Linked DNA regions of Drosophila melanogaster. The protein of the gene in region 3 interacts with the protein of the main gene of each other region in a pairwise test. Each region holds a gene or a part of one and is shown on either strand. Other genes may lie near its edges. The genes, in order: HLH4C, mrj, CG9784 and CkIIalpha-i3.

Evidence for each region.
Region 1: the proteins of CG9784 (region 3) and HLH4C interact in a two-hybrid assay, tested with the Drosophila melanogaster proteins (one large-scale study listed by BioGRID).
Region 2: the proteins of CG9784 (region 3) and mrj interact in a two-hybrid assay, tested with the Drosophila melanogaster proteins (one large-scale study listed by BioGRID).
Region 4: the proteins of CG9784 (region 3) and CkIIalpha-i3 interact in a two-hybrid assay, tested with the Drosophila melanogaster proteins (one large-scale study listed by BioGRID).

The regions. Positions count from the first base shown.
Region 1 is NC_004354.4:4,643,467-4,650,995, reverse strand, and holds HLH4C (helix loop helix protein 4C), read left to right. Parts: upstream 1-3,581; 5' UTR 3,582-3,689; intron 3,690-4,553; 5' UTR 4,554-4,628; coding exon 4,629-5,132; coding exon of another isoform or gene 5,133-5,204; 3' UTR 5,205-5,869; downstream 5,870-7,529. Other genes in the region: Cbp80 (cap binding protein 80), read right to left, coding at 1-564, 624-666; torsin, read left to right, coding at 1,231-1,423, 1,482-2,311; mRpL30 (mitochondrial ribosomal protein L30), read right to left, coding at 2,407-2,821, 2,902-3,029; CG3062 (uncharacterized protein), read left to right, coding at 6,212-6,238.
Region 2 is NT_033778.4:16,216,973-16,224,728, forward strand, and holds the start of mrj (mrj), read right to left. Parts: upstream 4,822-7,756; 5' UTR 4,698-4,821; exon of another isoform or gene 4,664-4,697; intron 4,178-4,663; 5' UTR 4,151-4,177; intron 3,152-4,150; exon of another isoform or gene 3,080-3,151; intron 2,738-3,079; exon of another isoform or gene 2,666-2,737; intron 2,474-2,665; exon of another isoform or gene 2,402-2,473; intron 1-2,401. Other genes in the region: CG7798 (uncharacterized protein), read right to left, coding at 5,209-5,655; CG15706 (uncharacterized protein), read right to left, coding at 6,325-7,737.
Region 3 is NC_004354.4:16,592,596-16,601,362, forward strand, and holds CG9784 (uncharacterized protein), read right to left. Parts: upstream 5,902-8,767; 5' UTR 5,648-5,901; coding exon 4,121-5,647; coding exon of another isoform or gene 4,088-4,120; 3' UTR 2,541-4,087; downstream 1-2,540. Other genes in the region: SMC3 (structural maintenance of chromosomes 3), read right to left, coding at 1-151, 349-488, 565-679, 757-771; Ubc7 (ubiquitin conjugating enzyme 7), read left to right, coding at 1,406-1,448, 1,511-1,592, 1,676-1,935, 2,096-2,214; Nup153 (nucleoporin 153kD), read left to right, coding at 7,560-7,718, 7,785-8,300, 8,359-8,603.
Region 4 is NT_037436.4:706,334-713,347, forward strand, and holds CkIIalpha-i3 (CKII-alpha subunit interactor-3), read right to left. Parts: upstream 4,029-7,014; 5' UTR 4,025-4,028; coding exon 3,977-4,024; exon of another isoform or gene 3,951-3,976; coding exon of another isoform or gene 3,915-3,950; coding exon 3,405-3,914; intron 3,281-3,404; coding exon 3,224-3,280; intron 3,162-3,223; coding exon 3,000-3,161; intron 2,951-2,999; coding exon 2,879-2,950; intron 2,822-2,878; coding exon 2,747-2,821; intron 2,691-2,746; coding exon 2,658-2,690; intron 2,596-2,657; coding exon 2,377-2,595; 3' UTR 2,268-2,376; downstream 1-2,267. Other genes in the region: CG13895 (uncharacterized protein), read right to left, coding at 1-1,289, 1,346-1,366, 1,557-1,568; CG13896 (uncharacterized protein), read right to left, coding at 4,609-5,354, 5,412-5,424.

The DNA.
Region 1 (7,529 bases), about 12 Mb from region 3:
CGATCCTAAGCAACAGGGACTCCAGGGCAGACTCCTTCTTCTCGTAGAGATCGCGACCCACCCAGGGTAGCGTGGAGAGCACAGCAAAGACGAACCAATCGCGACGCACCTGGGGCACTGTATCCTCGTTGGAGACATCGATCATGGTGTCCAGCAGCTGGAGGAGACTGGTGGCCGAAATGACGTGGCAATTGACCAGGTCGGCCAGAAAGCGCAGCGAGTAGCGGGCGGCATCCCAGCGGCACATCTTGAGGGACTCCTTGAAGGTCTTCACCATGTGATCCACGAACTCGCCGCCAAACTTGTAGTTCTTGGCATTGAGCAGGCCCACCAACGTGGTGTAAACGGTACACTTCTCTGGCATTCGCACGGCGCAGTCGGACAGGATGCGCAGGATCTTCAGGCGAAACGTGCCCAGATCGGCCTCCAGAACGGAGACGAGTCCCTCTAGGTTCGATTCCACGGAGGAGGTGCTACGCTCGCCCACCCGCAGTATCAGCGACTCCAGACGATCCTCGATCTCCTGGTTTTCGGACACACGTCTACGCTTGTTGCGCCGATGATCTGCAATTAAATGCCCCCATAAATGCTTTGCGTTCATGATTACATCGATGCCCACTTACCATAGCCCTCATCCTCCGTGTCGTGAGCCCTCCTGCGACTCATCTTCCCGTGAATTTTCTGTGAATTTTGCGGAAAACACCGATTACCGATTGGTCCTTGGCCACCGGCAGACAGAAAAGCACGCTGATGGGTACACCTCTTGGACCTGGACTTTTTCGGGGATCCTGGACAGGATACGCTTGACGGATGGGCCTTGTTGGTGCGTCTAGTATTTCACTGCGAGCGTCAATTAGCTTGCCAACTTTCAAAACAGCTTTGTCACAATTTTCACAAAAAACGCGATGCGATGCTATTTTTTTTTTTTGCCAAAGAACTAAAGATGTGCCGCCATCGATGGCAGGGTTTATCGATAACAGCGGCGGCGTAAGCGGCGGACTGAAAATGGGGCCTGAATAAACGTTTTCTTTGGCGCCATATGCGCAGAATTGCGGCATACTCAATTAACCAAAACATACCACTGACTGACTTACAATAAAAATCTGTTGAATGCCACTGCTACACAACTATCGATAGAAACGGTTGCCGGCAAGTGCTGCAATCTAGTCTTATGCTGCCTATCGCTTTTGCCCATCTATACATTCCACCGCGGAATTTTCCTTGCATTTTATGATGAGCTTTCCACGCATGTTATCACTGTGCCTTAGCGTGCTTGTAATACTGCCGCTTCCCCTCCAGTCGGTGGATCCCCTGACCATTGGTGCCGTTGGCGCCGTGGCCCTTGGGGCGTACTTCAAAGAACATACATATTGCCGGTTTGCCGAATGCTGCGATGACCGAAACATTCCGGCGAGAATAGATGGTGAGTGAGTAGTTTTGTATGCAACAAAATGACTAACCAGTACAGTGGGTAATTACAGAATTAGAAAGATCCCTGGAACGCACCCTCATTGGCCAGCACATCGTGAGGCAGCATATCGTCCCCGCACTGAAGGCGCACATCGCTTCGGGCAATAAGTCACGGAAACCGCTGGTCATCAGCTTTCACGGCCAGCCCGGTACGGGCAAGAATTTTGTGGCTGAGCAAATTGCAGATGCTATGTATTTGAAGGGCTCCAGGTCGAACTATGTAACCAAGTATCTCGGACAAGCTGACTTTCCCAAGGAAAGTGAGGTGTCTAACTATAGGGTGAAAATCAATAATGCGGTGCGCGATACCTTGCGTAGCTGCCCGAGATCTTTGTTCATCTTCGACGAGGTGGATAAAATGCCCAGCGGAGTATTCGACCAGCTCACCTCGCTGGTGGACTACAACGCCTTTGTCGATGGCACGGATAACACAAAGGCAATCTTCATCTTTCTCTCGAACACGGCGGGCAGTCATATAGCCAGTCATCTGGGTAGTGTGATGAAGAATGGTAGGCTGCGCGAGGACACACGACTGAGTGACTTTGAGCCCCTTTTGCGGAAGGCCGCCTATAACATGGATGGCGGTATGAAAAAGACCACCATGATTGAGTCTCATGTTATCGATCATTTCATTCCGTTCCTGCCGATGGAGAAGGCGCATGTGATCAAGTGCCTGGAGGCGGAGCTTTTAAGGTGGCGGCGCGATCCTAAGCAAGCGAACAACCAAAAAATCATTGAGGACATAATAAACTCCTCCATTAGTTACGATCGCACGCACAGCTTGTTCGCCATTTCGGGCTGCAAGACGCTGGAGAAGAAGGTGGCCATGGCCATTTACTGAGAAAGGACCGACCGACTCCACATTTTAATGCTTAGTTTGGGTTTCGGTTTGTATTTAAAAAACTATTTTTTCGGAATAAAGAAAACAAATTTTAACTACCAGGGATTTAGCCACTTGAGGCGGGCATCTTTGCGCAGCAGATCGGTATCCAGTCGCTTGGGCTGCTCGTCGTAATCCTGGCGAGCCGCCAGGCGGGTATCGATGGGTCCCAGGTCCTTGGTTACCAGGCACTCGCCGTTCTCCTTGAGTATCGTATGCCGGACATCCTGGGCAGTGGGCTCTCCGTAGGGGAACGTGACCGGCGTAACCTTAATTAGATGCTTGATCTTCCACAGGCGGGCATTGTTCTCCGGTATGTTCTTGACGACAGTAAAATCGCTCTGCTTTCCGTCTAGTCCCAGATCTTTGAGGATTCGATTCTCCCAGTAGGGATTGCCCTTTAGCGGCTTGATGCGCTGCACCCGGAAAAGTTTCGCCGGCTCCACGGGTGGATCCTGGTGATCGGGAGTCCTGAGCGGGATAGATTTAGCATTAACAAATGCTGGATTTCGTGTGTTTTCCTTTTATACACTGCACACGTGAATACGAACCTGGGATAGTAGGTGATACCCTCAAATTTCTGGCCATTTTTGTAGAGGAACTTCTTGTTGTGCTTTCCGTAGCTGCGCACCGAACATGCGGTGCTCCTCAGTGGATTCAGCAGCCTTCCCAGGTTCATCTTAATTGTTTTCCCCCCTTTGTAATAAAATTAAATGCAAAACGCTTATGAAATAATTGATGTTTCCCCGACGATAACGATTACACAGACATCTGGTTAACTAGTTGCCTATCGATGGGCAGCATGGATACTGCCGTTATGTAAACCAATGTTAACCGCTTGCTGTTAAGCGATACAATTCAAATGCAAAGGCGGCAAAGTTAAAAGTGATAATTTATCATGTACAAACTGAAGATAATTTATCATTTACAAACTGAAGATAGCGAAAACATTATCAATAAGATGGTAATATATATTCGTTGTTTTTTTTTTTAATATTTCAAGAATTAGTTGAGAAAAGAAAGTTTTTAGGTCATCGGATTACACAGCCTCCAGGGGATGATGTCCATTTCTGGAAAGGGGCGGTCTCATATCAAAATCTCCGCCATTTTGTCAGCTACAATTGGCGCTAATCGACGAGGGTGGATAACTTGGCATTGGCTGGCTTTCAACGCAATGGGGTTGTTTCCGATTTTGGTTATAAAGGAGGCTGCAGCTTCCCGACCGGAAGTCAGTTCCACGTGAGCATCCATCCGGCGAGCAACCGACTCTAGTGGCAAGCAAGGATATCTGCCAGACAACTCAAGGATCTAGAATAACTCTGCACCTGTGATAACTGCTGTAAGTTCAGGCAACAAAGCCCAAAAATTGTGAGCAATGCAAATGAAGTGAATGTACTAGCGAGTAGAATAATCAAATTAAAGATACAAATAGCTGAATGAAGTCTCTAGTTCGTTTAAAATTATATCTAGAAATTTGTTAATTAGCTAACTTGACCATGTGCACGCACTCGACATGTGTAAGTGTACTGGAGTTTCATAGTCTTGAGGGGACTTGAGTTACACGACAAGTTCTTAAAACTAGATCGGATTTCCATCATCCCATGGGATCAATAGACACGTCTTCGACTTGATGCAATTCCAGTGACACTTTTTGGACCCAAAACCCATTAAATCAATAGATATAAAATCATACGTTAACCGCAACAATACAAAAAAGGGTGGCCAAGCCTAAGGGGTTGGCATCGCTGAGGTTTGCCAACTCCCGCGGGCAAATAAACGTGCCGATTGTTCAGCTATTTGTGTAGGTGTGAAAATATGCTGCGAATAAACAATACACGCACAATGCCGACAATAAGCACAATAAGTACAATAAAAATAAATGAAAATAATAGCAAACGCAAACAGAATGCAGCGAAAAAGGGGTGTGTCCTTCATCGGCAAGGACGACACACACACACACGGACACCCTTCATCACAAATGTCCACAAATGAAGCATAAATAATTCGAGTGCAAGGATTATGATTTCTTCAACGCCTATTGTAACCTTTTTTTTTTCAATAGCATGAGCGCTCCACCGCAAAGGTAGCCACACTTTTCGTCTTCCTTGAGTTTGAAATGCAGATCTGTGAAGCAATCAAGTACACATTTCGTTGTATTCATAGTCTAAGCTGTGCATCCTCTTGCTTCCATTTCCATTTCCAGCATTCAGCAGCAGGCTGGGCAGCGCAAGAAAGTCCAGTGTCCAGCACCGAAATCAGTGGTGCAAATAGCCAGAGAATGGTCTACGATATGAGCCATATGGCGGCGGGTCCGCCGCAAAGCATTTCGCTTAGTCGCTACTATCTGGTCGACGATGATGAGATGATTGGGCCAAATAATCCGCATCTGGTCAACGAGGACTATGCGGCCAGTACGACGCTGGATATCGATAAGCGTTTTCAGGCGCGAATGGCGTGCGAAACGGCCGCACAACCGGCACCGCCACCGCCGCCCACGCCGGCGCCACGTCGCCGGACCACGCCCATTGCCCATTTGGATCCATCGGAATTGGTGGGTCTATCGCGGGAGGAGCGGCGTCGTCGCAGGCGAGCGACACTCAAATACCGAACGGCACATGCGACGCGGGAGCGTATACGGGTGGAGGCATTCAATGTTTCCTTTGCCGAGCTGCGCAAGCTGTTGCCCACATTGCCGCCGGACAAGAAGCTTTCCAAGATCGAGATCCTCAAGCTGGCCATCTGCTACATTGCCTATTTGAATCATGTGCTGGAGACGCCCTGAGATAGCGCCGGCGCCTCCAGTTTCGCCACCAGCTGCCTCTTTAACGAGGCCAATTTTTTCGCCCCCCCGTAGGAGGTGGGGGGGCGTGGCGGGCGGATTTAGGGGGAAAACATTGCGAATATTCCACATCCGATAAACGCATTTCACCATGCTCTGTAATCCGCACATCGCTCCATTGGATACTTTGCCGGTGGCGGCTATGGATAATGCGATTATCGAATTAGCCATCTCACCAACTTAACCGAAGTGTTCGATGGATTTTGCCGATTTGCTAACCTATTTAACCTATGGTTAAATACATACATTTTTTTGTTTTTTGTTTTTTTTTTTCCTTGCCACTGTTGAAAGACAAATGCCCGTCGTTTCGTTTCGATTCGTTTTTTTTTTTAGGCTTAGGTTTGTTTTCGTAGAAACAATTGTAAAGCCACGATTTAACCTAAGGTTAAAATATGCCCGTACTAAATGTAGAAGATATAAGCTATTAGTTTGTGTAATTTAATTGAAAAGTAGAAATATCGAAGGAAATAACAAAACTAAATATGCCAGTAGTACATACAATTAAATTTATGGGAAAGCAGTGCTTAATCCTCGGAGTAAACCTTGATCATGGTTTATATAATATAAATAACCAAGAAAAAAAAAACAGAACCTTAAACTAAGATCCATTTTTTGTCTAGCCTTTAAGTCGTGATATTTGTTTATACTCAAACGATTAATATATACAGCATTGTAATCGCAATAAAAAATTGTCTACTTTATGTATTTTGGCGCGCCTTTGCACGACACTCCCCTCGACTTTTGGACACCAGCTGCTCTGACTGAGTTTTCCATTTGTCTGAACGCTTTGCTCGGAAAAGCCAGATGCTAACAGTTCCCCCTTTTTCACCAACCTTCAAGAACCACGTATCCACGTATCAAAAGCGGGCGTGTCCTTTGCGCCAAGCCCCGCCCATTTGTGTAAAAGCGAAGTAGAGCAGCCTCTGTCATAATTTTCAAAAATTGAGGATACATTTTTATTTTTTTGTTTTAGAAACTGTGAAAGCGTCACGGAAATTTCGACTTTTGTGCAAAATTTCGAAATGGCCCTTCATTTTAGTGCACAGCAGGTAAGACAAATTTATTCTAGTCGATTGGGAGGCTGTTTTCAATATCCATAAATAGTGGCCTAATTTGGTTGGTACGGGTAACGGGTATATATATATATACATATATATATATTTGTGTGGATCCATGGATGTAAACATTTTCGCAATAATAATAACAACAAACGTGGCAATGGCAACCAACTCGATTCGGCGCCATCCTTTTCTATCCAGTGAAAAACGACTCCTGCATTCCGACAATCGGCTGTTTGTCCCTGTATGGGTGCTATTTTCATGGGTGTGGGTGTACTGGCGTTCATAAACAAAAACAAAGGCCAGGCGACAAGGAAGTTTTGTTGTGTGCATATTTTAGTTTTTACCAGTTATATATTTTATTCTTTATTTATATTTTTATATATTTTAAATTAACTCATTTTGAATGGCATGTGTTTCCTTTGCTCGAATTTTAAACTTTTGTTTATTTATTTTTGAAAATATATGTCGGGTGTTTTCTTGTTTTTGAGTGTCGTACGCATAACGTTACCGCTACCGCTCCGTTACCGTTTCCGCTCCCATAACCGTTTGAGCTCGCTTTTTCATTTCCTCCCCGCCCACCGCCCACCGCCCACCGCCCACCGCCGCCTTTGCACATTTGCAAATAGCGACAGTTAAAGTTTATTTACTTGGTAACGGTTACTTTGGACCAGAACCTTTGCCACGCAACTCGTTTTTGGGAGTCCACAGCTATTCGCCATATACACACACAATCGCAACGGAATCGGTTAACTGCGGTGGTGACGGAATTTCGAAAAGAATCTATTCGAATCGCACTCGAGAATCAATCGAAACGCCTGGCGTTAATGGTTTACCAATTGGCCAGGGCGACAGCTGTTCGGCCAGCGGAAATTGAAATTGGAAAAATTGAATGGAGCATTGAAAGAAGCAGAAGCAGGAGGCGGAGCACAATCCACAGGATACAGGAGCTTTGGACCAAAGGATAGTCGGCGGCAGAGCGTGAAATTAGCTTAAGTGCTTGTCGCCTCGACCAGGACACACCAGTGGATACAAGTGCGACATTAGATACGATACAAGAGTACCCGAAAGTAGAGAAGTACCTTCATTCTGGCGAACTTCTAGCCCAACCCCAGTGCCTCGGCCTAAACCAGCGATTCAACCGTGCACGTGTTTGCCAACTAGCTTTTTGACTGTCTAATCCTGCGGATGCGAGAATGCAAGGACACCATGTGATAAATTGCACCCCAGAGGGTTGCCATAAAAATCATCGCTTCACCCAGCTGGGGTGACCACCTCACCC
Region 2 (7,756 bases), on a different chromosome or scaffold from region 3:
TTTCTGATTTTTGGCATTAGACCCGCGAACCACTGCCGCAAAATGCCTAAAAAGTGCTGGCCTGGCTAGCTGGCTGACCAGCTTGCGATGGCGATAAATGTGCGCAGATACGTTACAGGCCGCGTCGCGTCGTCTGGCCGCTTTAAATGGACAACTGGGAGTGGGTCACAGCTGCAGCTGTGGATCTGTAGTGGAGCCTGCGGCTCACCGAGGCAAACGAAGCGATTATAGGGACCCAGACTTGGAACTAAGCCTTCCCCCCGAAACCAGTTCGTCTTCCCAGACAGACTTCGCAGCGATTCTTTCTTTCCTTCGAAGCGTAAATATTTCAATTTATTTATTGGTCATGCGTCTTCGGCATCGTATCGTTTTTCGAACACTTTCTTTATATTCGGCACCCGAATTTCAGAAAGATATAGCAACATATGTCGTGGTGTGATCAGAAACCCACAGTATCTTGGCCTCGGTCTTGGACTTGGACTCACCAGCACGCAAAGCCGTGCCAAAATGTGTGTCAATGGCCTTTGCGGGCCCTTCTTTTCATTTTTATTTGGGGCGGAGATACAAAGTCTGGGGCGTGTCCCAAGCGGATTTTCACTAAACTGAAAATTAAGAGTGAAAACGGTTCGAGTTTCTGTCTTTTTACCCAACCCTGCCATTTTTTTTTTTTTTTTGCAGCACACAAAGCAAAAGAGGTGTGTACGTCGATTCCAACTGCAGACCATGCATGCATGACCCCGCGTATTAGTGTCCCATCCTATGGCCGCCTGATTGTCATGCTAAATGGGTGAAGTGAAACTACGACTGCGATTTCGGACTGTCGAGAGCATTGACCATCTCCCCAAAAGAGCATTGCCTGTTTTTAGCTTTTTCTTCTCCTACTGTCAACTGTCAAACGAAATTTACACGTTTTTCTTTCCAGCTGCAACTCACGAAATAGTCGAGACTTGAACAAAGAAATGGGGAGTGCGTGAGGCTCCTTTAGCTGATTGATTGTTTGGCAAAGTTTGCATGTTAATTGCCTTTATGGTGGCGATAGACGACAAAGCACACTTAAAAGTCTAAAACCCCATTACTGAGTTCATTGGAGTTTTCTTTTTTATCAGTCGTGTCGCCTTCTCATTTTCTACCAATTAACATTACTAGGTTGTGACTCTCACCCTAGCGAAGACAATGGAACTAAAGCAAATATAGTGTAAGCGATTAAAAACAAAGTGAATAAGATATTAATACAATCATTATACTGAACTTCTTTCGTTAGGCCACATATTGTCATTAAAAATTCTTTTTTCATAGTGTTAAGCAATCAAGTCCTCTGGAAGCGGAACGGAAACGGTCGAGGCTGACCCAACAATTCAATTAAGTTGACTCCTCCTGCACATCTGAACGATCGAGCCCGAGTGGAGACAACTTGGTTCCTACCTGCTAGTCCGGCTGGCTGATGCGGATTGAAAACAAAACAAACAGAGCTTAGACAACTCACAACAATGCGGTCGTTGGACGCGCAGGCGCGCAGCAGGGGCCGCTTAATATGCAGCCAGCGTAGCTGGTAAGTCGGAGATGTATACCCATATACCCATACCATATAGCCAGCAGCAGCTGGCGTCTTTCGTTCTTGCTGTCGCTCAACTGATCAACTGGTTTAACAATAAAAACAAAGCTCAGGCGGCGTTGGCGTTGCTTGAACGTTCAACAGAAACGAAAAAGTTACCGTCTTTTTTGTTGCTTCTCTCATGCGCTGCCATCGATTGTCGGGGCTTGGCTTTCTTTGAGGGAAAAAATATACAAACTCACTTAGAAACTATAAAAAATGGCAATTTGTACGCTTTGCCTTTTTCTCCGCTTCTTGCTCAATCGTATGTCTCACACGCGCTTCTAATGTCTGGATACGATACATAAGCTCGTTCAAGATGATGGCATATAAAAAGCTACACGAGTTTTTCAATTGACTTGGAAAGTGGCAAGCGACTGCCAGCATGCATCAAATGGATCGAGCCCCAGCGAAAAGTGGGCGTGATGGGCAACAACAATGGCTCACTGTTTTTTGGCTCTCGGCTTTGCCACACTTTTGATGAATTAGCCGTTTTTTTTCCATCGAGTGTCGGGGCTTGGAAAATTGAGTTGCAGCTGCAGCTTATGATGGAAGTGGTTGGCAGGGAGCGAGGAAGTTCGTTGAGCCGGATCATACCCAGCTGAGACTCATTAAAACACCACTTGAACCACGATTCGTGTTACACCGCCTCTAAGTGCAGGTCAATAAGTGGAGTTGTTGTCTGATTTTCAAGTCCAAGCCAGTTTATGCCTTTGTGCGATGCTATGGGAGAGAAATGGCTGGAAGAGCTTGATTGATGGGGATTCTCAAGCAGGGTAATTGATTTACTTATAAATAAAATAAAAATACTTCCCATACCGGGAATCGAACCCGGGCCTTCTGGGTGAAAGCCAGATATCCTAGCCACTAGACCATATGGGATATGTTCTACTTTCTTCCAAGTTATATAAACGTTTTTGTAGTTTTTCCTTGTTAAAAATGGTGCACGTACTTTATAAGGAATTTTATGCCTTGTTCATTTTTAAATTTATAAATAGAAAATATACAGTGGTGACTTTAAAACATGTCCTAAGAGGCAGACTAAGGACACACTTTAGTCACCTTCCAGACAAGTCCCATATTGTCTAGTGGTTAGGATATCCGGCTCTCACCCGGAAGGCCCGGGTTCGATTCCCGGTATGGGAAACTTTTTTGCCTAATTTCGCTTTTTTTTTATTTGTTACCATCAGAGGGTTAATAATTTTGGGCTTTGTTAAAGGGGTTGACTGACCATTATACAGAGGTGGTCAAAAGTATTTCCACAACGAGCTTTTTTTTTCAATTAGTTGACAATGGTTATTAGTTGACAATTGAAAAAAAAAGCTCGTTGTTCAAATACTTTTGACCACCTCTGTATATGTTTTCATTCCATATCTTAATTTTCTTGTATTAATAGTTTTTCCTGGGTTAAGCAAAATAAACAAATAAACACAAGGCATTCATTCATGTTGGCGAACAAAACGAGTCTTTGCTACAACACAGATAGCCTCCCATATGGTCTAGTGGCTAGGATATCTGGCTTTCACCCAGAAGGCCCGGGTTCGATTCCCGGTATGGGAAGAGTACTTTTTTTTTACTGCTTAAAATAATTGATAATTGATTTTCCACATATATTGAGCAGTCTTCAAGTCTATTGCTTTCGGTAATTGTATGTATTTATGTTTGTTTTTGCTTTTCTAGTGTGCTTTATTTCTTTGCAATTGCCTAGCGCCACCAATTGATGCCAATCGGACACGCTACGAAATAATTCGAGACTTTTTTATGGCCGTTGCTTTTCGTTGCCCCAAGTTGTCAATTGTTGATGTTTGTGCTTATGTAGAAAGAAATAAGAGAAAAGAAAAAGGAGGGAAAACGGTTTTGTTAACGACGGGCAAAAGCTCAAAGAGCCAGAGTACTTAACTTTTGTTAAACCGAAAATTAGGCATGCCCAGAATTGCAACATGTACTGGAAGCAACAGCAACAACGACAATAGCCTGCCGCAAAACGTGTGGCAAGCGAATAGCAGCAACAATAAAACGGGCACAATGCCTTGACTGAGTTTTGAACGTTTTTTTTAGTTTCTTTTTTTTGTAGTAGATACGGAAAATTGCTTTTTCATTGTTGCAGTAACCAATTTTTGGCTGTTATTGTTGTTATTTACAAGCTGACTTGGCAAACGGAAAATCAATTTTTAATTGCAACAAATTTGAGAGAGCTGCGGGACAGGCAAATTGCGAGTTGGCCAAAAAAGGCAAATTAAAGTAAGCGTTAACGAAAAACAATTGGCATTTTGAGTCAGAAACGGGTTTAACGGTATCGCAGAGGCAGCTGCAGTATCTTTTGAGGAAACACGCCGCCACATGTCAAAGGGGGACAGCAACAATATGTCAAAATCTCGATGAGCAGAGCAATGAACCGTTGTAATTAGCATACGTCCGCGTGCGTGCGTGTAACAGAGAGCACAATAGAGGCACTTTCGATTATTGAACTTGTTAAATTCCGCATTTCTCTGTTTGCGCTCGGTGCTTAGATTGTTTATTATTTGGTATTACGCTTATTCTTTTGCTTTGGTTGCTTACCTGGAAATGATCTCTTTCCTTTGGTGCCTAACCGAAAAACAAGCGAACAATTAATTTCATTAGAAGTATCTAACAAATGCGAATCCAACATGAGATATAGTAAAACAAGAAATAAGTGTGAGCAAATAAGATAAGCAACGCCGCGTGGGGAAAGAGAGAGAGAGAGAGCTGTTGGTGAGAGCGAGAACGACGCGAGTTGTTGGCGGAAACTCCTGTCGCAGCAAGCAGCAGCAACAACAACTACAGAACGGCGACAATTACGGCGCTTTATTGATTTTTTACAAAACAACTATTCGAACACGAAGCGTGCCGTTTGCATTTGAAACTCGGTTTTCAGCTTATATCGAGATTATTTAATGCACAACAAAACGGAGCACAAAAGAATTTCGCACACCAGCACAAGTTTTAAGCACTCACACACACACACATACGAAGCGACTTCAATGTCAACTTCACTTTTTGTATTTTTATCTACTGCTTCGCTATTTTTGGTTTTCTTTAGCAGTATTTAGTACTTTGAATTTAGTATTTAACTGCACTTTATTACCCGTCAGTCTGCACGCATCCGTGCGCTCGTTGGTCGAGAAACAAATTATTCAACCGCCACTTTGCTTTTGGCCAAGCGCGCTTTTCCCACAGCTGTTTTACTTAAGCGATAAAACGCAGCGACAACTATCAGTCGCCTGGCTATCGATTTGACCCAGGGAGGGGAGCAACTAGCTCTGCCAATCGAACTGGTTCCGAGCCGAAATTCAAAAATGTCATCGGTAAGATAACGTGTTTAGCTACATCCCTTTGGACATGTTTTCTACATGTTGACTTACATTTTACATTATATTTAATTTTATTAGCTTGGCGGTTAGTTTTGAATATAAATTGAAGGTAAAAAGGTATAGACCAGTTTTTTCTATTCTTGTTTACCAGATGATATATCGCACCACAATTGTTCGCTCTTTTAATGCTCATACTCATAAAATATATTGCTCTTTAATATTATAATATTTTATTCTGCATTTAGGTTCTTAAGTTTCGTATTTTTTTTAGCTTTTTACCGATGCTCAACCCGAATTTCTGTGTCGCCGCCGGAAGCAGTGATTCACATTGGGCTTGACACCCTGACATCGATTGTTCCAAGCCACCCAGGCGGAGAATCCTTGCTGTTTCCTGATGTACTTCGCACAGGCAATGGAATACCGGATATCGTCGCTCAACAGCAGGCGGCAGGGCAAGCGACACAGATCGTTGGATGGACGACCATCCGCCGGCTTGCACCAGTAACGATCGTTGATCTGGAAGAGACCCCAGTCCACGGATCCATCAACGTTCGAGGGATTGATGGCTTTTGTGTTGAACGAGCTCTCGCCCTCCACGAGGCACAGCCAATCGGGTAGCTCGTTGTAAGCCATTCCGTATCGATACAGCTGCCGGGCCAAACTGCATCTGCCCACCTGGCGGCCAGTGGCCAGTGATAGCGTTAAGAGCACCAGCAGCCAAATGGGCCACATCTTCCAGAAACAATGCAGGCTTCTAATGGTAACTCGTGGCTTATATAGCCATCCAGTTTGCTGCGAGATTCGGAGCACAACTTGGCCCAATCTAATTTTTACAAGCACTCATTTGGACAGCTCTGAAGTGTGGCCCACACTCGAGCATAAATTATCAACACTAGGCGACAAAGATTGGAAGTCATAACCATCTCCAATTCTTTTATTTTGTTGGAGCTATTTCGGAAAGGCTATTGCTCTGAGAAATCAGTAGATATATGGTTATTTTAGGGTGTAGAACTAAAACTACAATTCTCTAACTTAACTTAAATCCCAAACATGCAGATGAGTGTCAGACTTTCAATTCTCGATCATTGAAACAGGCCGATCGGGCCAGTTTCGTTAATATATGGAGTGGGAATCGCTCGCCATTTAAGCGAGGCATCTGCCTGGCCCCAGATTCACTTTCAATGGGTTCTTTTGTGCGATGCTCAGGTATTATATAACCATGTTGACAGCTGGAGGGGCCGGAGCACTTGAGATCGCGTGTGCGCCAACAATCGAACAAAAACCCCGAGAGAGCAAAGTCATTCAACTTTTGGACAACTTGTCGTTCTTTCTTTGTTTTTGTTTAACGTAAAAAATTAGTACAAAAATATGCAATAAAAATGGCATGTGTTGATACTATGTTTATCCCAAACGAATCTCCTCCATTTCCTGAGCGGGCGGCTGCTTGATCTCCTGTTCCGTTGGCGGCACATATCCCTGTCTCGGCAGGAATTGCCTCTTCCTGGATGTGGGACGTATAACGATGTGTGCTACGCATGTGCAAATGGCGGCTATGGCAAAGTATTTGAAGCTCTCTCGTCCGCCCAGGCTTTTGAACATAAGTCCGCCGATTAGGGATCCGATGGAGAAGCCAAGTCCATCGTCCATGCCGGCCATCAATCCTTGAACGGTGGCCGATGTTCCCGGAGGAGCCACCGCCGAGGCGTAGGCCACAATGCACGTATAGCACAGAGCATAGGTAATGCCCTGGAAAAAGAGCTCCACGCCCACCAGATACCAGGGATTGGGAATCCAGGCGATCAGCGACAGTCGCACAGCGTAGAAGAAAAAGCACATGCTCATGCAATGAACATAGCCCAGTTTTTTGATAATCTTTCCGCTGTAGAAGAAAAAGGGCACCTCGCCGGCCAGACACTCGGCGGCCACCACTAGACCTTCGATCAACTTGATCTGATGCATGTAACCAGTGGCCTCGGCCACCTGCTCCAAGTGCCAGAACATAAAGTATATGATGAAGGAGTCAATGATGCCAGCCATTGTGGCGAAGAACAGAAAGACCAGAATGGGTGGCTTGCGCACCAATTGCCAAACATCGCTCCAGATGGACTCGGAACCACCCAGTTTCGGCAGCTTCAGCTTGGACACACTGAACAGATCGAGCAAACTGAACACGCACATGATGATCAAGGCAGGCGTCAGACTTTTGACCGCATCCGTGGTCCACCAGTTCACTACGATTCCGGCTAGCATGGCAGTGGCTCCAAAACCAATGGTGCCCCACACTCGTTGTGCTCCGTACTTTTCCTGCTCCTCATCGCCCAGAAGGTCAAAGCAACAGGCATCGGATATGGAGTTTGTCACGTTGAAGCCAACGATTCCAATGCAGAGCAGGCATACGAACAGCCAGAACTTGCCAGCACCATAGATGCAGCTATTTACGTGTCGCACCTCGCAGGATGCACTGTTCCAATCGATGGCTGCTGGTTGCGTGAGACAGATGTGATAACTCTCGTTGCCATGAAGCAGATTCTGGTTGAGATTGAGGCCCGACTCGTTGGCAACAATTAGAGCGGAGAATTCGCCTACTTCCTTTTCTTCCTGAATGCATTTTGCCTGATGAGTGGTTTGACAAAATGCGTTGGAGGATTGGATAATGGTATTGCAATCGTTTGGATTCGTCAATAACGTTACATTCCATTGGGCACTTCCCTCGTCCAATGGAATGAAATGTGAGTTGTCGGGCAGGAAATAGAAGCCGGCGAAGGCCAGTGTCATGATGAGGATAAGGGAGATGAAGATGAACTTGCGCAGGCTCTGCAACAAAGATTATAGT
Region 3 (8,767 bases):
GCTTGACAATGTAGTAGGGATTTGAACTGGAAAAACCAGCCGATTCCAGCAGATTGACCACCTCATTGCGCGGCACCACCTTCTTGTTGAGGAAGTACTGGTCCTTTTTGGCGCCAATCACGCGCCGCAGAAAGATCTCTTCTTTGTCGATCTACAAAATAAGCGTAGCGTCAGTTATGAAGTGGCTAGAAATGTTTGCCTATAAGTTTGAATATTATGAGAAGATGCTATGAGCGGGTTGCTTTAGAGGATTTTGAGCGATATGTTACAACCATTGACTACATCTTCCAAGGCAGTAGAGTTCTTGCAAAGACTATGTTTTCTGGGTCACTTGGTTTGACTACTCACTGGAACTCGGTTGTCCGAGTTGTCGAAGATGATCTCCACATAGGCGGAGATGACGCGGGCACCTGTTCCCTCGTGCAGAAGCGACTGACGCTGCTCCGGCCGCAAGTGGGTGAACTCATCGCTTAGCACAAACTGGATGGCTGCAAAGTGGATGGGATAGCATTAGGGTCGATTAAATATGGTTAGCTGAACAGGCAGGCTGGAGCTGATACTAACCGTAGAAGAAGTTGCTCTTCCCGGAGCCATTACGTCCAACAACAACGTTATGGCGCTTGTCGAATGGTTCCACCACCGTCTGGTCCTTGTAACTCTTGAAGCCTTGTATAATAATCTGGAATTAACGGGTGGATTTCAGATCTTCGGTGTCCAATGGGTGGCCAGGAGCATGGCCGTCATTTCAACACTCACCTGCTTGATGTGCATCTTATTATATGCGATTTTTTGCACAAAATCGCGCTCTTTTTGTTTTACAACAAATACATAAATAATATCGACTCGGGCAGCGACTTATCGATGTTTGCGTTTCACTATCGATGTCATCGATATCCCAACTTTGAAAAACACTGGCTTGCAATCGAACCAAAAATTCAAATGATATAAAACAAAAAAATAATTTTAAATTTTACAACTAAAAGTGTCCATCAATAATGGTTTAAGAAGCAAACAAATAATTAATTTAATAAGGTAGTTTGAAGGTGTGAAATACTAAAACAACGATAGCCGACGTTATCGAATCGAATCGATTACTCTTGTTAAATTCACTCAGTACAGATATATTTTTATAGAAAGCCACTCGATTCATTCGATATAAATAAACACGGAACACCGTTTGTGTTTATTATATTACGACGTGTCTGTATTTTGACCCGTGCCCGAGGATCTGGAAAGTTCGCGATTGCCGCCAAAACAAGCAAGGACCCCATTCGGGTGTAGCAGGTGCAGGAGCAGGTGGACAGGAAACGGAGAAGCAGCTGAAGGAAACTCAAAGGAAGTGGTCACAGTGGGGAGAAGGAGCCCGTGAACTGAACCATCATCATTACCATCGAGCGCATTTAGGATGGCTGGGTCCGCACTGCGCCGCCTGATGGCGGAATACAAACGTGAGTCGAAAGTCCACAGGGCAGCAACAGCTTTCCCTTACCACCGCTCCGATCATCTCCAGAGTTAACACTTGACCCGCCCGAGGGCATTGTGGCCGGCCCCATCAGCGAGGACAACTTCTTCGAGTGGGAGGCACTGATTGCGTGAGTTAAGATCCCCGAACGATCGACACGGATCGGACAGATGTGGACAGATTAACCCATTAATTGCACTTTGCCCTTTGCAGCGGACCTGAGGGCACTTGTTTCGAGGGCGGAGTGTTTCCTGCCCGGCTCATCTTTCCGACCGACTATCCTCTGAGTCCGCCTAAAATGAAATTCACTTGTGACATGTTCCATCCCAACATATTCGCCGACGGGCGGGTCTGCATATCAATACTACACGCACCCGGCGACGATCCCATGGGCTACGAGCTATCCGCGGAGCGCTGGAGTCCTGTCCAGAGCGTGGAGAAGATTTTGCTTAGTGTGGTCAGCATGCTGGCGGGTAAGAAAAAAGTCACAATAAAGTCTTAAGGGCAATTCCAACGGGGGTATCTACTTCCAAGTTCATTTGTTCACTAGATTATATGGTTGATCATGCCGATAGTTCACTTCACTTGTTCATTCCTTAAGTTCAAACTGATGTCGTTCATTTTTGCCCACAGAACCCAACGATGAGAGCGGCGCTAATGTGGATGCAGCAATTATGTGGCGCGAACAGAGGGATGAGTTCAACGCCATCGCCCGACGGCTGGTGCGCAAAACTCTTGGTTTACCGGCGTAAATGGATCATGTGCGTCACCGTCAATACTTTCTACCCTGAACAACACGATTCCAACAACTCGCTAACCCATAGTTTTCTCAAAAATCCCTCGTTGAGCTAACCGACACAAGTTTCAAATTAGCAAAAATGAAGAACCTAACGTCAAAATCGACTAACTCAAGTTTATCTAGCACACTGACTGCCTCACCGGACTTAACTGGAGGGCCTATTACCTGAAGTACATCACTGGTAGTTGGACACGAGGCCAGGTGAAGGCGGAGTGAGAAGTTGGCAAGAAAAGTGAAAATTCTAATAATTTCTATTATTAAAGGTTTATTTTTTTTTATATATTTTCACTAGATATAATTTGTATTGATGCTTTATAAAGATGCTGTTTTGAAAAGTTAAATAGAAATTACGATAATTCAAGTGCAAGGGCAATGTATTCGAAGTGATTGAGGCGTTTGATTTGCATTATGCTTTATGTTTGGTTTATATAGTCATTACACACTTAATTCGACTGATCATTAACTGAAATCCAACATGAAATTGTCCTATGTACTCATAAAATACTACACAATTGTAAACGTTTTCATTCGATTAAGTAAATTGATTAATGTTCACTTTGATAAGGCATACGACTGTATGTATGTATATATATATATATATTTATATGTTTATAGGTAGGTGGGTAAATGCACACCCATACACATACATTGGTTAAGTGTCCACTGGTATGAGGGTAATATAGTTATCTAATAGTTGCTGAAGGTTACTAAGCCACACGAATTTCAATTGACCGGGCCCGCATAAATTAATGCTCTCTGTCTTCTTGGTTTTCGGACCATAGATGGGCTCGAAAATGTTTACACCATTCGATCGTTCGAGTACGGTGGGCACCACAGACTTTTACGGCCCACTGTACGTTCCACCAGTTAGTCAGTCAGTCATCAAAACATTGCCAATTAGTGGGAGTGGGCAAGGGCTGCGCCAGTTCGGATTTCCATTGACCCACTGTACGGTGGGTGGGGGAAGTCAATGCAGATTGCTTGAATTTTCTGCTTGGTGGTCTACTTGGGTTGCAGCTATCGTTAAGGTGCAGTTCTTATCTAAACTATCCTTATATAAATTTTATAGATTATATACCAATCAGATAATGGAAAAAACATCGCATGCCGCTTTATAAAAGTCTACGTTTCCGGAGAAAAACCTTTTCTTTTTGTTTAAAACATTAAAAATCTTTCGTAAGTTGAGCTGGTTGGTTTAGAATCATGGTTAAAAAGTTCACTTTTCTCTTTTTTGTTATTCAAAAAATTAAATACAATTTGCCTACATTAAATAGTAGTTAAATGAAGATAAAATTATATTCATACTTTGCTACTCTATTCAATATAATACCTTTTCTCTATATATTTCACTTGAGAGGCATTCAAAAATATCACTTTTCAGACTCCGGTTTCTGCCCATTTTGGCTTAGAGCTCTCACCTGGCTCTCATCAATAAGTTTTTGCCTGTTACTGGCAACAGGGTGTGTCATAGTGTAGATGTGTGACAGTGAATGTGGCGTAATTAACCTTTTGACAAACCGGTTAAATACAAATATCTAGTGCCATGACACCGTACAAATAAAAATAACAAAATGACAGCAGAGCAAATAGAACATATGTATGCAAACGAAAAAGCGGGATTCATTCAGGGCGGGAATAGGTGGAATTGGTAGTAAACACAAATATTATTGGTTCGATAATTATGTATAATTACATATGTATGTATTAACGTATTTTGGAGGGGGGGAGAGGAGAGGAGGCGCTGAGTCAACAGCTAACAAGCAAACTTAACACGGTCACATGAGGTCAATAAAATTAGATCAACACGGCGGTTATGGAAACAGAGACTAAAGAATAAAGATATCCAGAGCCTCGGCTAGCTAGTCAACATGGTACTCCGTCCGATGGGGCGAGCCGTGCCGCTTCTCCGCCACAAAGACACCACTGACGCCGGCCAAACTGGTCACGCCCCGGACTCCGGTGCTGCGGAAATATATCAACAGGTATTGCTCGCCGTGACGCAGTTCCACATCGTCGGCGAAATCTAGCCGCACCAACTCTTGGGCATTAGCCTCCTGATGGCGACGCTGTCGCTGGCGATTCCTGTGATGATGCCGACCCCTTCGATGATGCGAGGGCGTCTCAAACGGATCCGGTTGGTGATTGGAGTCCGAGGATGAGGGCGACTCAGCCTGATTGACATACTCGTAGGCTACGTAATCCGCCAAACTGGCGTACTCCGACGGAAAGATGCCAATCCAGTCGTTGGACCCCTCGTCGAACTCTGCCTGCTTGTGATACTCCACCGTGTTCTCGTCCCCAATCTTCCAGAGCGACAGAGGCGAGAACACCACGCCGGGCGCCCGTACATTCGGGTAGAGCTTGATGGTAAAGTCACTGGTCACCGGCTTGTGATCACTGATGGTGTACAGGGGATGGGACTTATACGAGCATTGCTCAATGGATAGCTGCATGCCGGGCTGCCGGTTCAGTGGCTGCACGGCGTACATTATCCGATCCGTCCAGGCTGGCCGCCGCTTCAGGTCGTACTCGGAGGTGCCCTCGCGGAACTTGAAGGTGGGCGGAAAGGCGGGCAGTCGCTCCTGCAGAACCTGAAAGGCCAGCTGCGACTTCTCGCGAACTTGATACAATTGATCCCGCTGGATAAGGGCCTCGTGCTGGGACTCATCGCGTACCAACTCGCGCACTTCCGTCGAGGAATCGCTGCCCTGCAGTCGGAAGTTCAGATCGCCAAACCAGAAGACATAGTCGTGATCGTAGATCTCCCTATACCGCTTGACGTGGTAGTGATGGTTCTCCAGTATCTGCTTGTAGTCCTCGATGCGCTCGTCCATCATATGGTCATGGGCAGTCAGATGGGCCACCACAAAGGCCAGTCCGCAGCCGTAAAGGGTGAACCTGACACTGACGGCGCCCTTGTTGCCCCAAATGCCACCGAAACCGGTCCTCGTGAACTCCGCCTCGATGTCCTGCAAGTGCTCAACGTGCTGCCGCCTCACGAACATGCTGAGCAGCAGCCCCTGCATCTGCTCGGTCTTTACGGCCACATAGTCGTAGTTGCGTAGCAGTTCCTTAGCCTTGTGCGTCCACGGATCCTCCTTGAACAGTCCCAACACCTGTTGCTGCGGCTGGGCATTGACCTCCTGGAGCCCCAACGCATAGATGTCCGGCAAGTGGGCATTAGTCTCCTTCGTGTCCTTATCCACCGTCACATCCTGCAGTCCCAGCAGATGGCGGAGGGATATGTTATCCGGAAATCGACTGCCCACATTCCAGGTGACCACATATACCCGGTAAGTTTCCAGCTGTTGCTTCCCTTTGCCCTTCGATCCGTCCGGCTCCGAGTCCGGAATCTTGGGTGTCTTGCTAGCCTCCGTTTGGCTCATTGTTGCTGGACTTGACAAATCGAAGAGATTAACCCAACTGGCTGCTCACAGCAATCAAGTTGTTTACCCAACCGATTAAGGTTTTATTGTGTAAGTCGATTCTTTATGCCTTTGTGGATTTTGTTGCTCCAATCTGGGTTGCTGGTTAAGTTGGGTGGTGAACAGCGGCGAGGGCGGTCGGTAATTGCTGAAAATATTGCAGCACAAATAGTTTTTAACACTTGTTTGCCCAGCAGCAGCAACAACAACAACTGTGCTACAACAACACGACGAACACAATAACAACAACTAGGGATGGCAAAACTGAGAAGATGACGATATCGACTAGCGGTATTTATTTTCCAGCCCTAAAAATGTAAATTTCTTAGACGTTAAGAGGTAACATATTTGATTCATCTAGTAGTAAATTCAAGTTGTTTTAAAATGGCTTGCTAAAATTGAACCAAAACAATATGGTTTCCCCTATAACCCATTTTTTAAGATTTATTTAACATTTATACTGTATAATTTCTTTGTCATATTTGCACCTTAATAAGGGCTTTTATATTTGGCGCTCATATTATGTTCGTTTATTATATTTGCTTTATTTCTAATGCAGAATCTGTGGTCACTCTAGCACTCGCTGAATTTTAACTCGCTGGAAATTCTTTTTAGGACAACTATCGATTAACATTAGTACAGTATTTAAACTTTTGCATTATCACACAGCCAAGTAAAAACCTAAACAAATACCTCACTCCAACTTAAAGATACAAACGAGAATTCCTTTTAGTCAATGCAAATGCTTAGTATTCAAATGACAACACAAGCAAATGGTTACATATGTTATAAGTCGCACTTGAAGCGGTTCTTGAGTAATAAGCCCGTATGGCAGTTCATCACCAATTAAAAATATTTAATAATTACAGACTTCCAAACCGTAAACGTGCATGTAACCGATAGCTGCAGGCAACGTATCGATTAGCACACGCTGCCCGACACGCCGATAGTATCTGACAAACATCGATTTTGGTTCCAGCTCTACTTTGTGGCCACACACGCGTTTTTTCCCCAATCAAATCGTGCTCTTTTGAAATTCTGTTTCTTGCAAATCGGTGGTGCGTGTTCTCGTGCAACAATGGAAAACCTGAATGCGACCAGCGGCAAATGTTAAATTGCAATTAAAAGTGTGGATTTCGCGGCGGTAAAACGCCAAAATTCGTACCGAATCGCTGCGCGCGTGTGTGTGTGAGCAGAGCGTGAAGAAGAGGAACGAAGAATTGCGAAAGCAGTGTGTGCGGAAGAAGTGGAAGAAGCACAAAGACAAAAGGAAGGTGAAAATATATCAAATATATATCAAATCTATCCGGCAAAAGTAAAACAAATATTGAAGAAAACGGGCGGCATGCTGGAAAGCGGTAAGGGCAAAGCCAAAAGCAAGAACCTCGAGCGCTTCGCCCGAATTCGGTATTCAATCCTTTTTCCCGCCTCTAATTTTGCAGTGCTTGTGCCCAGAATTTGCTCTTCATTGGTGGCCAAGAAGTCAAATCCTGATCAAACGCGACCAGTTTGTGGCGCCAAACAGAATATTATTTAAAAATATCGCGGCGTGTGTAAAACCTCGGCGAAACGCGAACAAAAAAAACCACGACGGCGTGCGTAAGCGCACTCACACCTTTGCACACGCACAGACAGAGAGAGAAGGCAGGATAGAGAGTGAGAACGAAGCGAGTGAGCGAACATTATCCGCACCTACACATACAAACTAGCTCGCAGGAATTGCAACAGTGTGTGCTTTTTTTTTGGTTTTTTTTTTTACTTACGTTTTTTGTTGTGTGTGCGGCAACGCTTCTTTTTCGCGTTTTTTTTGCATCTCTCTTTTGTGCCGTTGCTTCGCCGGCTAAAAAGGTGAGTCTGAATCTAAAGCGGCATAATGGAGGATGCACAGGAGCAAAGGGAATCCTCGCAAGCCGAATTGGCCAAAAAGCATCCGCTGACGCCGCTCAAGGAGCTGCCTGAAGAAAGCGAGGAGGAGGAGGAGGAAGAGGATGAATCCTCGGCGGGAGCCCTACGGGAGTCTGACAGCAACAACGTAAGTACAGTCGACGATAACTTGGTTCCCATCAAATATCCAACTTCCGTGCAATTGCAATTGCAGTCCATCATGGGGAAGATGAAGATGCGCGTGTCCAGCATTCTGCCCGCCTCCTTGAGCGGTTGGTTTTCGCCGTCGTCCAAAGATGGGAACGATGCCTTATCCTCCCCAGCTAATCTCCGCCAGTCACAGCCACGCCAGTCCAATGGACGCCTCACTACCAAGCGGAAACGAGGACGCCGTCGGATAATGCTAGCCGAAGTGGATGCCGATGCAGCCGATGATCTTGATGACGGCTCCGATGCCAAAGGCCTCAACTATGAGGAGGTGGCCCTGGCCGACAACATAGCCGAACACGACCTGGCCGCCGAGGATGAACAGACGCGGCGGAGCGAGTACAATGTGTTCCTGCTGCGCAAGCGAGCCGGGGCTGTTGCAGCTGCCGGCGGTGACGAGGATGAGGCCGAGGAGGATGAACTGGAAGAGGACGACGAGGATGGCGATGAGGAGGATGACGATGAAGAGCAGGAGAATCTCCAACAGTCCGCCGCCGTGCAGACCAAGCGTCGACGCCTGGAGGTAAGATCACATCTTCAATCCTGTCTACATTTCCCAACTAATCTTGAATCCCTTTCAGCTGGAGACCCCCGTCAATTTGCCGAACATGCGTCGTCTGCCCCTTTTGTCATCCACGCCTGCTGCTCCGCTCGCGGCTGCCACCAGCTCCTCCAGCTCCCAGATGTACAAGGGCGTCAGCCACATTGCGCCACATCGGCGCAATCACCTCAATTTGTATGGTAGTCAACGGCAGCGCGAACCCGCGTACAACTTTTTCACGGGCAACGAAGCTGCCGAGGGAAGCACCGGGGATCTGCCACACAGGTATGTTACTGCAGTCATGCTTACTAAAAGTGTTAATATGGAATTCAAAAAGATAACTACCTTAGAGCTCGTTTCAAACAAACTCAAATTTGGGCGTTGCATAGCCAGGCTATTGCCAAGACGAAAAAGAAGAAAACCTTAGTGAAAATTATAAGGCAATCATT
Region 4 (7,014 bases), on a different chromosome or scaffold from region 3:
TGACCGGGACTATTGGCTGGAAGTAGTTCCGTATCCTCAGGCAATGACTCATTGAGCGATTGAATCTTCTGAATCTTCAAGCCACATGGTATTGGGCCGCCGTTCTCGTCTGATTTTCGTTTAGTAGCCCTTTCTGGCAAATCCTCATTATCATTATGCTCATCGTCATTATCCTCATCATCCTTTATTTCTATGAGCTCAGGTGGCACTTCAATGGCCACGCAATCATCGTCTTCTTCGTGCTCAAATTCTTCGGGTTTTGGTTCCACCTGTGGGCATTGGTCCACCTCTGGCTTGTCGCTCTGGCTCAGTTCTTCCTGCGACTTCTTGTGGTCCAGCGTGATCTTATGTTCATTCCGGCCGCAATAACTAACTATATCTCTTAGGTCCAGGGAAAGCGGCAAGCGGCGGTTCGTCACCTGAACTCCCACCGTGAAATTAAAGTTATAGCGACTCTTAAAGTGCTTCAACCACACTTTGTCGGGAAAGAAGGAGTCGATTTTGAGGATGTCCCTTAAACTAATGGCCACAAAGCGCAAATTGTCTAGGTCAAGACGACCCTGGCGAACCAACTGTGATCGCTGGATGTACTCATAAACGCATTTCTCCAGGAACGCTAACTTTCGCTTTCTACGCAGGTGCACTTCATCCGAGGTGGCTTGATTTTGGCTAGAGGTGGTGACCAATGTCTTTGTACGATAAAGAGGTCGATCACTGCTAGTGAGCGCAGGTTCCGGCGATCTAGGCGCTAAGCTACAAGACATCGAGGTGTGTCGTCCACAGTACGACATAATGTCCCTCAAGTCCATAGATCGTGGTGGTCGGCGGACTATCGTGATCTGACGATTCGACAGTGTTATATTATAGGCGGCCTTGAAGTGATTGATCCACGGTTTGTTCGGCACAAAACCATCGAGTTGCATGAGATCCCGGAACTCGATCGCACGGTTGCGGATCATCTCCTCGTTCACATCGCTGTGGAGGTAAAACTGGGCCCTCTGGATGTACTCGTACAGGCAGTGGCCCAGAAAGTTCAGCTTGCGCCGGCGCAGCTCGGCATCCTTATTGGCCGGCTGGCTGAGCCGATTGGTGGCCTTGTGGAACTCCAGGATGGCTTCCCGATTGGAGACTATGCTCTTGATTTGCTCCCAGCTGCAATTAAAGTTCCTCGCAATCTTACTGTACATGGGCACAATGTCGTACTGTCGGATGGCAGCCACACGCTCCTCCAAAGTCAGCACGTTCCGTATGCGATGCGATCCATTCGAGTTTTTGTGGGTGTCATCATTCTGAAATTGAATCATGGTTTATTTCTTTATAAAATCCGATTTCTAGGCTTAGTTACATGTATGTTATTGATACAGAACTCAAATTATCTGTATGCGTGTATATCATGAATGCCTTATACATATTTATGTATGTATATTTACAAAACATGCCCTCTTCTTATTCGCAAATGGGTCTCGCATATTTTAGCTCAGAGATAACAAATTTCAAAAGATTTTACTAAAACGAAGCATTGCACTCTCACTTACTCACTACGAAAGTATACTTACGTCAGAGTACATTTCCACTCCCGCTCTCACACTTTCAGGTTCTCCACTCTCTCTTAGCGTGCTCGCACTCCCAGTCTGGCCCCCCCTCCTCACGTGACCAATATAATTCTGTTCCTTTAACAATGAAATTAAAACGAAATAGTTATTATACAGAGAAGAGCTAGAAATCTTGTTTACATACCTCAGTCGGAAAGCTTAGAGCATAAAGTACACTTTGTTGAAAATATACAGCAGTTTTTTAGGCACATTAAACAGAAAATATGTGCGGTCGCACGTGTTTAAAGTTGCCAGAGCGAGTGCAACTCAATGACTGAGCATGCGGTCCGAACATTGCAGAGATCTGGACTCTCCTCCGTTTGGCGGAGCGGCAAAAACCGTATCTTTGCGAGAGACATTCCGCTCTTTCTCTCGCGATCTAAACCGACTTCCCACGTTCCGATTCCGATCGTGGTGGTATTCGTTCGCGGTATGGGATTTATTTTCGGATCGAGAGTAAATATTCTCTCGCTAAAGCAGCTATAACTGGTTTAACATGCCGAAAAACACAAATCGCATTACCACCTAATCTGAGCTGAAACTGGTTTGATATGTACACATACATATATATAAAGCTATTTTTGCTCAAATTATATCTAGTGCTTAATTTAACGTTTACCACATTTAAGTGGGACCCTGTTGGTTATTCCACTCTATAAACTCTTTTCGCATATTACAATTATTTACACATTTTGGGTCTTGACTCTCAAAGGCAGGACACACGAACATTTTAATTGTAGATTACATATAAAAACTAAACTTTATTTTTGTGGCGTCAATAAGATCATAGATCGAAATCCTCGTTCTGAGGCGGATTTAAAACTGATTTTTCAACTTCAGTAAGTAGTCCAATGGCCCGATAGTTATCATTTAACATGGCGTACTCCTGTAAGACCTTCACGTAGGCCAAGGCCATATTTTTACAGTCGATGGATTTCAGTGAATTTTGTAAGGAAGCGACTACTTTGGGGTCCACATCGTCTTGACTGGTCTCATTTTCCTCCTGTCATTGAGTCATTTATCGTTACGTTAGTTCTATTACAGTCCAAGGACCTGTTTACTTACCTCAACTGCTGCCGTGTCGTGAGATTCAACAGTCTAAAAAAAAACATTCCAAAATTAAACACATTTTTCAGGTTGAAGAAACAACTAACCTCCTTGATCTCATCTTTTAAGGTCGTTTCCTTTTCCAATGACCCAATTTCCTCTTCATCGGTAAATTCACCATGCTAAGAAAATTAATAATAAGTGCTAATGTTACTGTTGATCTACTTGTACACACCCACCTCTATCTCTATTTTAATTATAGCTTCTTCAGAATCCGTACGCACGCGTACTTCTAATTTTTTCGACTTCGCCTGCAATAATAGTATTAATTTATGTTGCGACTTTTCAATAGTGTCATACCATTATTGGCGTTTTGTTGGCTTTCTTATTTCCTGCCGCTTTTGCTTTTTCATCATCAGACCATTTTTTACACACCTTACAAAGTTTGGATGGACGATTCTTAGTCAGCTTTCTTAGGTATTCACACCTCTTACAGCCACTTTTAATTAGACCGCTTTGTTGCTAGGATTAGTTTTATATTTACTAGCATTTAACTTATCCTTTATATGTTTGGCTATACTCACCAAGCTTACAGCTTCCTTCCACTTGTTGGTTTTTGCATTTAACATATTTCTAGGTTTCTAAAAAAGCATATCGAGTTCAGTCGAAATTCGATCAGAATTCGATGAGAGTTTTCATGAAAACATGGATGGATATTGGAAGCGCAATGAAAATATGTATAAGTTCTTTTGTAACGGTTCTTACATTGATCAGCTTTGGTTTCTCAGTAAGTTGCTCAGTTTTGTCCATCTTGGCCTCCGTCAGCTGGACCAGGCGATCCCGCCACCTGCGGCAGATTCTCTTGGTCTTGCGCTGTTCCTGCACCAGTGAGATTGAGCTGCCCACTTGGAACTCGCGCTGTGTGGGATCGGTCTTTGCCTGGATTTTGTTCCTCATCTCCACCATTTGCTCTATGTATTGTTTGACCTTGATGATTTCGGCATCCTGCAGGCCAATCAGAATGTCCCTGTACTTCCCAATAAGTCCTTTGAAACGTATCACTTGCATGGCAAGCATCATGGACTGCGCCTTGTAGGACGTACGCTTCGAGTTATTCTTCTCCTTCTGGATGACAGTGCGCAGCTGATCGAGCTCGCCATAGGTATCATTAAGGTAGCGGATGGCATTACGAAGATTTGACTCCGCTGTGGCAAAGGCGGTAGCATCCGGTGGACGAAATCCTGGCGGGGCAGGACCCAGTGCAAATAACCGGGACTGCAAGTTGTCCGATAAATTGGATTCCTTTTCCATAAATTTAACAAAACTTAGACTTCCACAATATGCTTTTTTGTAGACTTCAGATTGGTATTGCCCATCCGATGCATTTAGGGTTGCAATTTCGAAGTTATCGATAAAGTTTGCTTCATTTGATCAATATTGCATAATACTATAACTTTTTATTAACTGTATTACATGTTTTCACGATACTAGTTAATTCTTTTCAATTATGTTTGAATTTTCTATTTTGTGCAACCGAAGGTCTTTTCTTGAACCTTTAGTGTCATATTGGTGCTGCCAGATTTTTCGGTTTTTGTCAATTTCCAAGACGAACTTGCTTACAGATCGGCGTTGATCTCGGCAGGATTCACTTTGTTACTCTTCAAAATACTAATAAGATTTCAGAAATGTTGGTTTTTCTTGTGAAATTCCTTTAGATTGTTGTAACTATAGGTTTTAGAAAACGGTATTGCCACAGCGCAATATTTTAGCCAATACCCAAGCCAGATTTGTTTAGAACCAGATTCATTTTTCAGTGGTGTTAGCAAGTGCATGAACCATATTTAAATAAAGTAAATTAAAGTATATATATTATAAAATATTAAAATCTTAAATATAGAGGTATAAATTAGGTATGTGCCTTATCTTATCTTTGCTTTTCCAGTAGATTACGTGCTTGTTTATAAGGACACTACGTTTGATCCACCTCGAAGTCCTTGATCTGGGCTGGATATTGAATGGCGTGCTCCACCTGTATTAGCAGTCCTATGGCCCTGAAATTATCATGGATCATGGCGTACTCCTGGAGCGCTCTTAGGTGTCTCAATGCCTCTTCGTCGTTGCTGATGGAGATCTCGGCCGCAGACTCTGACAAATCATTAGTATTGGGTTCGGCGGCATTAAAGACTGTAAACTGTTCCCCATCCCGCTGCCGATCCGTTTGCACTTCGTAGTCCTTCTGGATCTTGATATCGACATCATCCAATGGCTGCTTTCGTTTGCGATACGTACGCATTTGGCGGGGAATAACTGTGCTGACAGTGGTGCCCATAGACAGCATCCTGCCTTTCTGGATACCGGTCTCCAAACTGACCACCGCTTCATCGAAATCATTGATGGAAAGTTCCTGCGGCGGTGGGACAGGGTCATCCTTTAGAATTTCGGACATCTCGTCGTAGAACTGCCAGTTTGGATGGAAATGCGGTACCTTCGCCAGGAGCTTGCTCCTTATGCTATAGTAGGTCTTCTTCAGGTTCCTAAATTTTCGATCCAGCTGAACTGCATCGATATCTGTCATTCCCTGGCTTTCAAGGGCAACGACCATTTCCCCCCAAATGTCCTTGATCTTTTTTTTCGGATCCCGAAAATCAGCTTGGCGTTCATTGTAAAGGGACAATAAAAGTCGGGTGTTGGATGTACACCACTTCCTTTCGTAAGCTGGCTTATTGTGAGTATATATATAGTTTTCTTCTTGAATTTATGTTTTTTACTCACACTTTGTATCCATTGTTTACAATAGCTATTCAGTTGATGACGAATAAGTTTTGTTTCCCAGGCTGCCAGTTCTTTCGGACGGCGTAAGAGAAAGGTATCATGATCCAAACATATGTGTTTCGATTTTTCTCTATCGATAACTATCGAAAAGGTTGCACGAAACAAAGATGGGAATAGGCTTTCGTTTTTTGAAAATGGATTTTTTGCCTAATCTATATCAATACTCGCTACCGAAGAGAACATTTATTTTATATAAATACTCATCTTAGCCTCATTTAATTGCCATTATGTAGTTTTTGAATTTAAAAATCTCGCAGTAAGGATTTAGTGAGTACTTGCCGCAGGTTGAGACCTCCCGCAACTTAATTATAGAAAGTTAATATTGAAATGGACCTACATACATTACAAATAAGCACATAACTATTACTGTGCTGCCATCTACCGGCAATGCGACTTTCATTTACAGACGCTAGATGTCGCCCAAACAGTTCGTCGATAGGGGCGCAGTAGTATAAATGTAAAATAACCGGGTACCGTATACTCGAGTATACACAGTAAAAAAAAGTTTAATAAACCAATATTGATTTTTGTAGTAATAAATTTGTTAAGCAAATTATATAAGATTATCAGTGATTTCTATTATAATCTTTTATAAACTAATCTGTAAGTTTTAGGTAAGAAAAAAGTTAGTCAAAAAGGCTAAGTCCTATCGTGGACTATCTATGCCCAATTTTCCGTATCAACCCAATCGAGCGTCTCCTAAATTTAATTTCCGCCACAAATAAAAAGGGAATTTACATATGCACAATTGGCACTTTTTTTCTAGAAACACCTGCGCACCGAGGTGGATGTGTGAAAAACTTGGTTAGAATATCTCGAGAAGCGCACTTCCGTTTTGGCCTAGATAATAACCGTGAAGGGCTAACTCGGTAGTTCGTAAAGCAGTCAGTAGTTACAACCCCGGCATGTGACTTTTAACAATGTTTTGGTAGGGGGTTCAGCGGAGCGCAACCTCGTTTAAGGTGTGTGGACCGTCCCTACAGACGACCCTTACAAATAAAGGCCTGAAACCAGAGCCAAATAATTGTTGCGCAACTAGGCGAAGCCAGCTCACTGATTTTCCCATGAAGAGTTGGACCAAAACGCGATCAGTGGGGCATGCAATGTGGGAAAATAGACTCTCGAATATGATTGACAATGGTTCGGGGCCGCTTTGGACCCTATATATTTTGACGGTCTGCCCATGGCAATGGCTTCATTATTTTGAACAGCTCCCACAGTAATAAGGCTTTCGGGCCGACTGGTTGAAAATTGCACTTCGTGCAGGCGGATTTCAAATTCATTTCGCTTAAATGTGTGGCGCTGCCTTTGGGCCACAAATCCCCAAGTCGCACCGTGGAAGCCAAGGTGAGATCGTTAAACAACTGACTGGTGAGTTGTTCTTTTATGGCTTACATCTCACCCAAGCACTGAAAATAATCGGAATATAACTAAAATCTACGACATGGCTATAAAATATGCAGCTTCTTTCAGGATACTCATTTTTCTCTGTGTAAGTCCTAAGCCAAATCCAAATTATCCGAGGTCCACAGTAGACCAGATC